2 linked regions of the Anolis sagrei genome follow. The protein of the gene in region 2 interacts with the protein of the main gene of each other region in a biochemical or structural test. Links are inferred from orthologs where the notes say so. Each region holds a gene or a part of one and is shown on either strand. Other genes may lie near its edges.

The links. The genes of interacting proteins can lie anywhere in the genome.
Region 1: the proteins of FZD7 (region 2) and DVL1 form a complex in vitro, tested with the Homo sapiens proteins (2 studies listed by BioGRID and IntAct, with this or other methods). The link is inferred for Anolis sagrei from reciprocal best matches to the Homo sapiens genes FZD7 and DVL1.

Annotation. Positions count from the first base shown.
Region 1 is NC_090033.1:5,369,062-5,376,256, forward strand, and holds the start of DVL1 (segment polarity protein dishevelled homolog DVL-1), read right to left. Parts: upstream 3,111-7,195; 5' UTR 3,027-3,110; coding exon 2,857-3,026; intron 1-2,856. UniProt on the Homo sapiens protein: Participates in Wnt signaling by binding to the cytoplasmic C-terminus of frizzled family members and transducing the Wnt signal to down-stream effectors. Plays a role both in canonical and non-canonical Wnt signaling.
Region 2 is NC_090021.1:165,056,997-165,064,455, reverse strand, and holds the start of FZD7 (frizzled-7), read right to left. Parts: upstream 3,049-7,459; 5' UTR 2,555-3,048; coding exon 818-2,554; 3' UTR 1-817. UniProt on the Homo sapiens protein: Receptor for Wnt proteins.

The sequences.
Region 1 (7,195 bases), on a different chromosome or scaffold from region 2:
ACAGATCTGGACCACACTTGGCACACACAACCAATATGGCCAACTGTGCATACAAGCCTGGTTGGGGGAGGACTGACCCATGATTCTGGGAGTTGTAGTTCACAGGGAGTGGTAGTTCATCTGCATCCAGAGAGCCCTGCATCCAGCCAACAACGAATTGGGACAAAACTTGGCACACAGACCCAACATGGCCAACTGTGCATACTGGCAGTGTTTAGAGGTGATTGCCCTCTGATCTGGGAATTGTAGTTCACCCTTATCCAGGGAGCCTTGTATTCAGCTGATGATGGAACGGGACCAAACTTGGCTCACAGACCCAAGATGGTGAACGGAGATTATTGTCAGGCTTTGGGGGTGATCACTCTCTGATCTGGGAGTTGTAGTTCACCCTTATCCAGATAGCACTGAACCCAACCTGTGACAGATCTGGACCAAACTTGGCGCACACACCCAACAAGGCCAACTGTGCATACAGGCCTAGTTTGGGGAGGCTTGACTCATGATTCTGGGAGTTGTATGATTCCTCTCTGATCTGGGAGTTGTAGTTCGCCCTTATCCAGAAAGCACTGAACCGAGTCGACGACAAATATGGACCAAACTTGGCACACATACCCAACATGGTCAACTGTGCACACGGGCCTGGTTAGGGGAGAATTGACTCATTATTCTGGAAATTGTATGATTCTTCTCTGATCTGGGAATTGTAGTTCGCCCTTATCCAGCAAGCAATAAACCGAGTCGACGACAAATCTGCACCAAACTTGGCACACACACCCAACATGGTCAACTCTGCATACTGGCAGTGTTCGGGGTTGGGTTCGGGGTCTGATCTGGGAGTTGTAGTTCACCCTAATTCAGAGAGCCCTGTATCCCGCTGACGATGGATCGGGACCAAACTTGGCTCTCAGACCCAACATGGTGAACTGAGATTATTGTTAGGATTTGGGGGTGATTGCTCTCTGATATGGGAGCTGTAGTTCACTCTTATCCAGAGAGCACTGAACCCAACCTGTGAGAGATATGGACCAAACTCAGCACACACCCCCAACATGGTCAACTGTGCATACTGACAGTGTTTGGGGGTGAGATTGACTTGCGATTCTGGGAATTGTAGTTCAACCACACCAAATTGAGAACATTTAACATCCAGAAGCAAATAATGCCTATCTCCACCCAAGAGCGACACACTAGTGCTCTGTTCTCTACCCATCGTGGAACAATAACAACAACACGGAAGTCCCCCTAGGCCTGGCTTTCAATTCAATGACCTAGAACTGCATTCTAGGTCTCTCTTTCTCCTCCAGAATAGAATCCAAGCTGATGCCAAAACCTAAGTTAGACCATCCAAGGTACCTCCATCCAAGGTTCCACCATCCAAGGCCCCTCCATCCAAGATCCCTCCATCCAAGGACCCTTCATCCAAGGTGCCTCCATCCAAGGTCCCTTCATCCAAGGCCCCTCCATCCAAGTTCCCACCATTCAAAGTCCCTCCATCCAAGGTCCCACCATCCAAGGTCCCACCATCCAAGGTCCTCCATCTAAGGTCCCTCCATCCTGGGTCCCTCCATCCAAGGTCCCACCATCCAAGGTCCTCCATCCAAGGTACCTCCATCTAAGGTCCCACCATCCAAGGTATCTCCATCCAAGGTCCCACCATCCAAGGTCCCGCCATCCAAGGTCCCACCATCCAGGGTCCCTCCATCCAAGGTCCCACCATCCAAGGTCCCGCCATCCAAGGTCCCACCATCCAGGGTCCCTCCATTCAAGGTCCCACCATCCAGGGTCCCACCAGCTAAGGTCCCACCATCCAGGGTCCCACCATTCAAGGTCCCACCATCCAGGGTCCCACCATTCAAGGTCCCACCATCCAGGGTCCCACCAGCTAAGGTCCCACCATCCAGGGTCCCACCATTCAAGGTCCCACCATCCAGGGTCCCTCCATTCAAGGTCCCACCATCCAGGGTCCCACCAGCTAAGGTCCCACCATCCAGGGTCCCTCCATCCAAGGTCCCACCATCCAGGGTCCCTCCATTCAAGGTCCCACCATCCAGGGTCCCACCAGCTAAGGTCCCACCATCCAGGGTCCCTCCATCCAAGGTCCCACCATCCAGGGTCCCTCCATTCAAGGTCCCACCATCCAGGGTCCCACCAGCTAAGGTCCCACCATCCAGGGTCCCTCCATCCAAGGTCCCACCATCCAGGGTCCCTCCATTCAAGGTCCCACCATCCAGGGTCCCACCAGCTAAGGTCCCACCATCCAGGGTCCCACCATCCAAGGTCCCACCATCCAGGGTCCCTCCATTCAAGGTCCCACCATCCAGGGTCCCACCAGCTAAGGTCCCACCATCCAGGGTCCCTCCATCCAAGGTCCCACCATCCAGGGTCCCTCCATTCAAGGTCCCACCATCCAGGGTCCCACCAGCTAAGGTCCCACCATCCAGGGTCCCACCATCCAAGGTCCCACCATCCAGGGTCCCTCCATTCAAGGTCCCACCATCCAGGGTCCCACCAGCTAAGGTCCCACCATCCAGGGTCCCTCCATCCAAGGTCCCACCATCCAGGGTCCCTCCATTCAAGGTCCCACCATCCAGGGTCCCACCAGCTAAGGTCCCACCATCCAGGGTCCCACCATCCAAGGTCCCACCATCCAGGGTCCCTCCATTCAAGGTCCCACCATCCAGGGTCCCACCAGCTAAGGTCCCACCATCCAGGGTCCCTCCATCCAAGGTCCCACCATCCAGGGTCCCACCATTCAAGGTCCCTCAGTATCAGCAAAGGGAGGGTGAGGTGGGGATGCCAAGGACCAAAAGGGCCCCTTCCCTTCTCCTCCCTCCCTGCCCAGCCCCCCTGACTCACCCAAAATCCTGGTCCATGGACTTGAAGAAGAATTTGTAGCTGTGGACGGGCCGGTTGCTGAGGACATTTTTGAAATCGGCCAGGGTGACTTTTTCCGGGGAGACAGGAAGCTTCACCAGGTAAGGGGTCTCCTCCTCGTCGATGTGGTAGATGATTTTTGTCTCCGCCATGGAAGAAGGAAGGAAGGAAGGAAGGAAAGGAAGGAAGAAGAGGGAAGGGAGGGAAGGGAGGGGGAGCAGAGAGGAGAGGAGAGGAAAAAGGGGGGACCCGGGGGCCGGGGGAAGGAAGGAGGGAGGGAGAGCCAGGCCCAAGGCTCCGCTCCCTGGGAGCCCCTCGCCGACAATGCCCAGCAGGAGGAGGAGGAGGAGGAGGAAGGGGAGGAAGAAGAGGAGGAGGAGCAGGAAGAAGGGAAATGACAGCGCTCAGCCCGGAAAAAAGAGGAAGCCCGCCCCCTAGTGGCCGAACAAGGGCACCGACAGGTAAGGGCACCATGGAAAGAGGGGAGGGAGGGAGGGAGGAGGGAGGGAAGGAAGGAAGGGAGGGAGGGAGGGAGGGTGGGAAGGAAAGAAAGAAAGAAAGAAAGAAAGAAAGAAAGAAAGAAAGAAAGAAAGAAAGAAAGGTAGAAGGAAGAAGGGAGGAGGGAGGAAAGGAAGGAAGCATGGAAGGAAGGGAAGGAGGAAGGAAGGAAGAAAGCGAGGGAGAGAAGGAAGGAAAGAAGGGTGGGACGAAAGAAGGAAGAAGGGAGGAAAAGAAGGGTGGAAGGAAGGAGGGAAGGAGAGAAGGAAAGAAAGAAGGGTAGAAGCAAGAAGGGAGGAGGGAGGAAAGGAAGGAAGCATGGAAGGAAGGGAGGGAGGAAGGAAGGAAGAAAGCGAGGGAGAGAAGGAAGGAAAGAAGGGTGGGACGAAAGAAGGAAGAAGGGAGGAAAAGAAGGGTGGAAGGAAGGAGGGAAGGAGAGAAGGAAAGAAAGAAGGGTAGAAGGAAGAAGGGAGGAGGGAGGAAAGGAAGGAAGCATGGAAGGAAGGGAAGGAGGAAGGAAGGAAAGAAGGGTGGGACGAAAGAAGGAAGAAGGGAGGAAAAGAAGGGTGGAAGGAAGGAGGGCAGGAGAGAAGGAAAGAAAGAAGGGTAGAAGGAAGAAGGGAGGAGGGAGGAAAGGAAGGAAGCATGGAAGGAAGGGAAGGAGGAAGGAAGGAAAGAAGGGTGGGACGAAAGAAGGAAGAAGGGAGGAAAAGAAGGGTGGAAGGAAGGAGGGCAGGAGAGAAGGAAAGAAAGAAGGGTAGAAGGAAGAAGGGAGGAGGGCGGAAAGGAAGGAAGCATGGAAGGAAGGGAAGGAGGAAGGAAGGAAACAAGGAAGGAAGCGAGGGAGAGAAGGAAGGAAAGAAGGCTGGAGCGAAAGAATGAAGAAGGGAGGAAAAGAAGAGTGGAAGGAAGGAGGGAAGGAAGGACAGACTGACTATGGAGCAAAGAAGAATGAGGGAAGGAAGAGGAAGGAATGAAGGGAGGGAGGAAGGAAGTAATGAAGAAGGGAAGGAGGAAGGAAAAAAGCAACAAAAAAAGGAGGGAAGGAAGGACTATGGAGAAAAGAAGAAAGAGCGAATGAGGAAAGGGGAAGGAAGGGGAAGGAAGGAAGGAAGGGAAAGAGAGGGAAAGGAAGGACTATGGAGAAAAGAAGAAGGGAGAGGGAGAGAGTAAGGAAGGAAGGAAGAAGGGAAGGGAGGGAGGGAGGAATTGCTATGAAGAAAAAGAAGGAAGGAAGGAAGGAGGGAAAGAGAGGAAGGAAGGAAGGGCAGACTATGGAGAGAGAAAAGGAAGGAAGGAAAAAAGCAATGAAGAAAGGAGGGAAGGAAGGACTATGGACAAAAGAAGAAAGAGCGAAGGAGGAAAGGGAAAGGAAGGAAAAGGGAGGGAGGGAAAGGAAGGAAGGACTGTGGAGAAAAAAAGAAGGGAGAGAATAAGGAAGGGAGGGAGGAAGAAGGGAAGGGAGGAAGAAGAAAAGGGAGGGTGGGAGGGAAGGAATTGCTGTGAAAAAAGGAGAAGGAAGGAAGGGGAAGGAAAGAAGGAAGAAGGGAGGGAAGGAAGAAGGAAAGAGGGAGGAAGGGAAGGAAGGAATGGCTATGAAGAAAATGAGAAGGAAAGAAAGCAGGACAGAAAGAAAGGAGGGGAAAAGGAAGAAAGTGCTATGCTGATAAAAGGAAGGAGTCAGGAAAGGAAGCAGCTGCAAAGGAGAAAAGAAAGGAGGGAAGAAAAGAAGGAAGGAAGGAAAGGAGGGGGAGAGAAGAAAGGAAGGCAAAGGAAAGGAAGGAATTGCTGTGGAGAAAGAGAGAGGGAGAAAGGAAACAGAAGCTACAATGAAATCCTTTAGTTACTATTTAAGAAACACAGAAGATGCTACATAGAACAAAACACAATCCCATAGTTAAAAAGTAACTTGAAAAGTAACAGTTACATTCCAAAGGGAAGGAAGCAATTCCCTTGTTGAGTGACAAATGTAACACAGCTCTCTCTGGCACTAAACCAGTGTTTTTTCCTAACCTGGGGGTCGGGACCCCTGAGGGGGTCACGAAGGGGTGTCAGAGGGGTCGCCAAAGACCATCAGAAAACACAGTATTTTCTGATGGTCATCTGGAATCCATGTGGGAAGTTTGAGCCAATTCTATAGGTGGAGTTCAGAATGTTCTTTGATTGTAATGAACTATAAATCCCAGCAACTACAACTCCCAAAAGTCAAGGTCTATTTTCCCCAGGCTCCACCAGTGTTCACATTTGCGCATATTGAGTATTTGTGCCAAGTTTGGTCCAGATCCAGCATTGTGTGAGTCCACAGTGCTCTCTGGATATAGGTGAACTACAACTCCCATACTCAAGGTCAATACCCACCAAACCCTTCCAGTGTTTTCCGTTGGTCATGGGAGTTCTGTGTGGCAAATTAGGTTCAAACCCATCGCTGGTGGAGTTCGGAATGCTCTTTGATTATAGGTGAACTATAAATCCCAGCAACTACAACTCCCAAATTACAAAATAAATCCTCCCCAACCCCACTAGGATTTACATGTGGGTGCATTGGGTATTTGTGCCCAGTTTGGTCCAGTGAATGAAAATACATCTTGCATATCCGATATTTAGTTATGATTTATAACAGTAGTAAAATGACTGTTATGAAGTAGCAACAAAAACAATGCTATGGTTGGAGGTCACCACAACATGAGGGACTGGCATTAGGAAGGTTGAGAAACACTGCACCAAACAATTGCAGTGTATAGACAGGACTTTCACTGCTGTGGCTGCCTCCTGGGATATGTAGTTTTGTGGCACACTAGAGCAGTGTTTCTCAAACTGGGGGTCAGAACACCTGGGGGGGGGAGGTCAAGAGGGAATTTCAAAGGGGTCACCAAGGAATATCAGAAAACATATATTTCTGATGGTCTGATGAACCCCTTTGGCAGAGAAGGCTGAAGATCTCTCCACCTGTCCTGCTCTTCCTTTTTGGAAACAGACCCCAAATCCTCCCACCGAAAGCCCTCCTCTGCTGTGATTGGCCAGCCTCTCAGCCAAGGGGAGGGCTGTTTCTGAGACTCCAAGCAGGGAGGGGAGAGCAGGCGTGCTCAGCACATGGCAGCATGGCATGCAGTGTGTGTGAGGGAGAGCGTGCGAGGCTGGAGGGAAGCATGTGCTAGCATGTCTCTTCAAGGCATAGCCATCCTCCGCTGTGATTGGCCGGCTTCTCAGCCAAAGGGAGGGCTGTTTCTGAGACTCCAAACAGGGGAGCGGAGAGCAGGCGTGCTCGGCGAATTCTCCCACCAAAAGCCCTCCTTCCTCCACTGTGATTGGCCAGCCTCTCAGCCATGGGGAGGGCTGTTTCTGAGACTCCAAGCGAGGAGGGGAGAGCAGGCATGCTCAGCACATGGCAGCATGGCACACAGTGCGAGCGAGGGAGAGCATGCGAGGCTGGAGGGAAGCTCGTGCCAGCATGTCCCTTCAAGGCATAGCCGTCCTCTGCTGTGATTGGCCGGCATCTCAGCCAAGGGAAGGGCTGTTTCTGAGACTCCAAGCAGGGAGGGAGAGCAGGTGTGCTTGGCCCATGGCAGCATGGTGCGCACGTGCAGGTCAGGGAGAGCGTGTGAGGCTGGAGGGAGTCCCACACCAGAGAGCCCCTTTAAGGCATGGAGATTCTGTGTGGGACGTTTGGCCAAATTCTATCATTGGTGAGATTCAGAATGCTCATTGATTGGAGATGAAATATAAATCCCAGCAACTACAACTCCCAAATGACAAAATCAATCCCCCCATGTTATGGTTGGGGGTCACCACGACATGAGGAACTGGATTAAGGGGTCGTGGCATT
Region 2 (7,459 bases):
CCAGAATCCAATGGCCACCAGTTGGAGATGCCATCCAAAACAGTAATTATAATTATTTTAACTAGAGTTTTCAGAGCATCTCTGCCTTTGGGTTCTGGAAATTGTCATCCATATGTGACTACCACCCACTCCCCTATAATATCCAGAATCCTCCCAACCAGGATAGCTACTGATGGGGAAATTTTCGGAGCAGCTGCTCCATTTCTGTCCCTTGTACAAAGGGCTGGGAGGGAGGCAATGCACCTCTTGGGTCTATATTTTGAGAGGATGAGTTACTGGAAGTCCAGTTTGCCATCCCAGAGACAGAAATGTGACTTAATTTCTGTTTTGTTTGTAAACCTTCACTTCTCCCTCCCTCTCCTTTCCCGTTGGCATAATTCCCACATTTCTCTTTGAATCGCATTTTCAGTTATTTGTCTTTCTTCTTTTTCTTTTCTAAAAGGGGTTGGGGTGCAGGGTGGGGGGAACAAGTAGAGGAAAGTAAAGACATTCTCACAGGATCAGAAACAGACCTGTTCTGAAGAGCAAAGTCTTAAGAAGGACACTTATTCTGCACTCTCCAACTTGGCTAGCAAGGTAAACATTTGAAGAGAAAGAGAGACCAAGTTGGAATGTTTGCCGCACGTAGAAATCCAACCATCCCTTGGAAAGAGGAAAAGGCAGAGTATGAAGGAACAACGGACCCCTTTGCACGTACGCAAACACACACACATCACAGCCACCCTCCCTCTTTCCTTCAGGCAATGCCTTCGCCACAAGAAGGAAGAGCAGCCGTGTGGGAAAGGACCGGCAAACTATAGGAGTACAAGTCTAGGTCTCATACTGCCGTCTCCCCTTTGCTCCCAGTGCTGAGTCTGTGGTAGAAGCGCCGCCAAGACTGGAGGGTCTTGCCAGTCCAAATCCAGAAGCCGGTGGTGATGCCCACAATCATGGTCATGAGATACTTGATGAGGAAGACTGTGAAGTCAGGGCTCATGGGGGCGAAGTTGGCGGCAGGGCAAGTGATGGCGTAGCTCTTGCAGTTCTGCAGGAGCCAGGTCTTCTCCCAGGTGTCCTGGAAGGCCTGCTCGTAGAAGTAGCAGGCCAGCACGATGGTGGCCGGCACGGTGTAGAGGACGCTGAAGACCCCGATACGCACCATCAGCTTCTCCAGCTTCTCAGTCTTGGTGCCGTCGTGCTTCATGATGGTCCGGATGCGGAAGAGGGAGACAAAGCCGGCCAGCAGGAAGGAGGTGCCAATGAAGAGGTAGACGAAGAGTGGGGCCAGGACGAAGCCCCGCAGGGCGTCCACGCTGTAGAGGCCCACATAGCACACCCCGCTGAGGACGTCTCCATCCACCTGCCCCATGGCCAGGATGGTGATGGTCTTGATGGCTGGCACAGCCCAGGCGGCCAAGTGGAAGTACTGGGAGTTGGCCTCAATGGCCTCGTGGCCCCACTTCATGCCTGCCGCCAGGAACCAGGTGAGTGAGAGGATGACCCACCAGATGGAGCTGGCCATGCCAAAGAAGTAGAGGATCATGAAGAGGATGGTGCAGCCCTCCTTCTTGGTGCCCTGCACCACTGTCCGGAAGCCATCCTCCGAGAAGCGCTCCACGCACACCACACGGTCCTCTAGCAGGAAGCCAGCCACATAGGCCACAGCCACCATGAAGTAGCAGCCAGAGAGGAAGATGATGGGCCGTTCGGGGTAGCTGAAGCGCCGCATGTCCACCAAGTAAGTCAAGACGGTGAAGAGCGTGGAAGCGCAGCAAAGCACCGACCAGATGCCCACGAGCAGGCGGGCAAAGCGGACCTCGGCCTGCTTGAAGTACATGAGTCCTCCGTTGGGCAGGTCAGGATCGCATGGGGCGCCACAATCCCGCTCACCTAGGAAGCGGTAGCCCAGGTACGGGGGCACCTTGAGCTGCCGGGGACAGGAGAAGGTGAAGGTGGCGTGACCGGTGGTGGGAGGCAGTGGGTGAACAGGGGGTCCGGGTAAGTGTTCTGTGGGGTACGAGGCGGTGGCAGGGCTCCCCGGGGCGACGCCTGCTCCACGCCCTCCTCCCCCGGAGGATGAGGTGTCGGAGGTGTTCTGTCCCACGCAGATCTCCCCAGCGCCGTGGACGGGGAAGTTCTCACAGCGCAGGCGCTCGGGCCACTGGAAGCCAAACTTGTTCATGAGGGCCTCGCAGCCGTGGCGGGCCCTCTCGCAGAGGGAGCGGCAGGGCGGGATGGCTTGCTCCAGGACGGTGCAGACCGGGGCGTACATGGAGCAGAGGAAGAAGCGCAGCTCCGGGGAGCACTGCACCTTGACCAGCGGGTAGAACTGGTGCACCTCCAGGCCGGCATCCTCCTGGCTGGTGTGGCCCAGCAGGTTGGGCAGGATGGTCTGGTTGTAGGCAATGTCGGTGCACAAGGGGATGGAGATGGGCTGGCAGAAGCCGTGGTCCGGCACCGAGATGCCCTTCTCGCCCTGCGAAGAAGAAGAAGAAGGCTGCCCACGGCTGGCATGGGGCATCAGCCAAGCTAAGGCCAGCAGACCCCACAGGCCCATGGCTGCTGCCCTGAGCATTGGGGGATGGGGAAGAGGCCAAAGAGGAGGAGGATGCCGGAGGATTGTCAGAGGATGGTGCTGCTGCTTCTCCCACTCAGGGCCCCGAAGGCATCGCCCACTCAGCAGCAGGAGGAGCCTTCCAGAAGAAGCCAAACCGGATCGCTGCCTGTTTGGACTCCCGCCAGGAGGGAGAAGCACCAGGGCGCCTCTCCAAAGCCAAAGCAGGTCTCCCCTCGGTCTCTCCTTCTCGGCACCCTTGGAAGACCCACCTCCAAAAGTTTCCTCGCGTGGAGAAGCCCCGCACTCCCAAGAGCGCCCTTCCTCCTCCTCCTCCGGGACTTCTCGGCAGCTTCTCCTCGCTTTTGAATGCAAAGGCTCCAAGGGAAGCCGCTTGGGAGTCTCCCTCCGCCTGGCGATCGCTCCCTCGGCCCCTCCGCAGGGATCCAGATCCAGAGAAGGAATGCGCCCTGAGACCTCCCTCCTCCTCCTCCTTCTCTCTCTCTCTCTCTCTCTCTCTGCGAGGGAAAAAAAGGCTCCTATATGGCTGAGCGTTCTCTCTAGCCCCGCCCCTTTCTCCCCTTCTCCATTCACAAGACCGAGAAGGGGGCGGCGTCTCCGAACCCTTGCTCCGGCCAATGGCGCGCTCTGTTGTCTCCACAACTCGGCTCCGGATTGGGCAGGGCGATCAAAGGAGGGGAGGGGCGGGGAGGAATGTGGGCGGGGCCTGCCTTAGGAGGATTCCATCGCTGGAAAAGTTGAAAGAAACTTTTTCGCCCAGGGTTGGCTGAATGGAGATGGAGGGAAGCAACGCAGAACAAGAGGAGGAAGGGGAGCCCGTTGGTCTTCCTTCTTCACACAGAGAGAGATATATATATCCTATGTACCTAATATTTTACATATAGATACTATATAAATATTACATATATATATATCCTAATATTTTACATATAGATACTATATTAATATTATAGATATACATATATACTATATATACTATATATATCCTACCTAATATATACATATATCCTATATAAATCTCTCTCTCTCTCTCTCTCTCTATATATATATCCTACCTGATATTTTACATATATATGCTATAGAAATGTTATATAAATACATACATATGATATATATATATATATATCCTACGTAATATTTTACATATACATCCTATAGAAATATTATATAAATACATATGATATATATATCCTACATAATATTTACATATATATCCTATAGAAATATTATATTTATATATATCCTACATAATATTATATATATATATCCTATAGAAATCTCCTATATATATATATATCTCCTATGTAATATTTTACATATCTATCCTATAGAAATATTATATATATATTCTATATATGCCCTACCTAATATTATATATATATATTCTATATAAATATTATATATATACATATTATATATATATCCTATGTAATATTTTACATATCTATCCTATAGAAATATTATATATATATATTTATATATATATTTATCCTACCTAATATTTTACATATATATCCTATATAAATCTCCTAGAAAAATACATATATATATATACTATATATATCCTACCTAATATTTTACATATATATCCTATAGAAATGTTATACATATACATATGATATATATATCCTATGTAATATTTTACATATACATCCTATATAAATATTATATAAATACATATATATATCTTACATAATATTTTACATATATATCCTATATAAATATTATATATATATCCTACCTAATATTATATATATATTCTATATAAATCTCCTATATATATATATATATATCCTATGTAATATTTTACAAATATATCCTATATAAATATTATATATATATATACACATATTATATATATATATATATATATATATATATCCTATGTAATATTTTACATATCTATTCTATAGAAATATTATATATATATATATATATATATATATATATATATATATAAATCCTACCTAATATTTTAAAGAGCCCCGGTGGCACAGTGGGTTAAAGCAGGTTCGAATCCGGGTAGCAGTGTGAGCTTCCACTGTTAGCCCCAGCTTCTGTCAACCTAACAGTTCGAAAACATGCAAATGTGAGTAGATCTATAGGTACCGCTCCGGTGGGAAGGTAACGGTGCTCCATGCAGTCATACTGTCCGCATGACTTTGGAGGTGTCTACAGACAACGCCGGCTCTTCGACTTAGAAATGGAGATGAGCACCACACCCCAGAGTCGGACACGACTGGACTTCATGTCAGGGGAAAATCTTTACCTTTACCTACCTAATATTTTACATATATATCCTATATAAATATTATATAAATATATATATTCTATATATAACATTACATTATATGTGTGTGTGTGTGTGCATATATATATATATATATATATATATATCCTATGTACCTAACATTTTACATATATATCCTATATAAATATTATATAAATATATATTATATATAACCTAGTATTTTACACACACACACAATATATATATTGTCATGTCAGGAGCAGGAGCATCCTGTTGTGAGAGAATTGGCTGTCTGCAAGGACGTTGCCCAGGGGACGCCAGATGATTTTTGATGTTTTATCATCCTTGTGGGAGGCTTCTCTCATGTCCCCGCATGAGGAGCTGGAGCTGATAGAGGGAGCTCATCCGCCTCTCCCCGGATTCGAACCTGCAACCTGCCGGTCTTCAGTCCTGCCGGCACAGGGGTTTAACCCACTGCGCCACCGGGGGCTCCCACATATATATATATATATATATATATATATATATATATAATATGTAAAATATTAATATTTGTAATGTTTTTATTCCAGCAAGAGCAGCTATTTTTGTTGTTGCTGTTATGTTATGTTCTGTTCTTATATGTTTTCAGTCATTGCAATAGTTCTATTTTAAGCTATGTTAATTTGACCTATGTAGTATATTTTGGATATTGTTTTAACAGTTACTTGCTGTAAGCCACCCTGAGTCCCTTCTGCGAGAGAGGGCGGGATATAAATCAAACCTATTATTATTTTATTATTATTTACAACAAACTCCCATTGCTCCATCCTTTGCACAATAACATCCTATAAGATCAGGATCTACCCTCAGGGTGGTCCAAAATACTGTTTGTTAAAATTATCATTAGTTAAATGCATGCATGAAGCTCCTCTCCTTTCTCCTCCCCTACCAGGGCCAGGAAATGTATTATAGATTGGACTGTTGGGGGGCAGGGGGAATAGGATGTGATTTGAATATATAGAAAGAAGGAAGGGCAGGAAAAATGTTCAGAATTAATAAAAAGGAAGGCTATGCTGAAGGGTGAACTGAGTGAGGCTTGAAGCAGTTTTTTTTTAAAAAAATGCGTACACTATATATTGGATTTTGTCTGGGAGAACAATTATTTCTCTGCAAATCAATTGATCCATGGTGCGCAGCTGCCCTCTTGATGTCAAACAGATAAACAAATTTAACCTTGAGCAGCTCCTTTTTTAAAAAAAATGGTAATCTCACAGAAGTGCAGACACTCACTCCTTCCTTCGACATCTTATCTTTCAGAAATGTTATTTTACCGAAATTCAGCTATACAAAGCGCTTAAAGCTCCTTCCCCTTGCCATATTAGCTTTAGTTTATATCTGGAATAGTGTTTGCAGATTTGGTTTAGTTTCTGGGTCCTCAATGAGACAATAGTAATGGAGAGGGGTTTTATTTGTGCCAGGAGCAACTTGAGAATCTGCAAGTCGTTTCTGGTGTGAGAGAATTGGCTGTCTGCTAGGTTGTTGCCTAGAGGTTGCCCGGATGTTTTACTTTCCTGTGGGAGGCTTCTCTCATGCCCCTGCATGAGAAGTTGGATCTGACAGATGGGAACTTACCCTGCTCCCTGGATTCGAACCGCCGACCTTTTGGTCAGCAGGCCTCCCAGCACAAGGGTTTAACCCATTGCACCACTGGAGGCTCCAGTCAGGAGTAAATAGCCTGAAGAAGGCAGCCTCCATGTTTTGTGAAGACATGATGGCTTCCATCATAATTTCACCTTTTAGTGGTCTGAGCATTGGTCTGGAGATTGGGGTTCGGATCCCAACTCAACCATTTAAACCTTCTGAGGTCCCTTCCACACTGCCATATAAAATCAAGATGATCTGATTTGAACTTAATTATATGGCAGTGTAGACTCATAAATAATAATAATAGTAATAGTAATAATAATAATAATAATAATAAGCTGACACGATATGAGGATTTAAAGATCGAACTACAAAGACTCTGGCACAAGCCAGTCAAGATGGTCCCAGTGGTGATTGGCACACTGGGTGCAGTGCCTAAAGACCTTGGCCTGCACTTAAACACAATCGGCGCTGACAAAATGACCATCTGCCAGCTGCAAAAGGCCACCTTACTGGGATCTGCACCCATTATTCGCCGATACATCACACAGTCCTAGACACTTGGGAAGTGTCCAACGTGTGATCCAATTCAACAGCCAGCAGAGTGTCTGCTGTGGACTCCTTGTTGTGTTTCTAATAATAATAATAATTATTATTATTATTATTATTTATTTATTTATTTACTGTATTTGCATACCATCTTTCTCAGCCAATTGGCGACTCAAGGCAGTTTCCAACAAATCAGTATACATAAAGCAAGCCCAGGAAGTTACAATAAGGCAAAATAAAGTAATCCAGTTTGCAGAAGATAATGTGGATTATCTGATTTGATAATATGGATTACATGGCAGTGTAGAAGGGGCCTCAGAGGGGGAAGAGAGGAAGGAAGGGAGTCAAAGGGATCTGGGAGAATCTACACTAGTTTTCCAAAGTCACTTCTGTTACTGGTGGGGCAACATCACATAGTTTATTTTAAAGCATATTTTCAAGGCAACATTTTCACCCTGAGACTTGCAGACCAGAGAAGA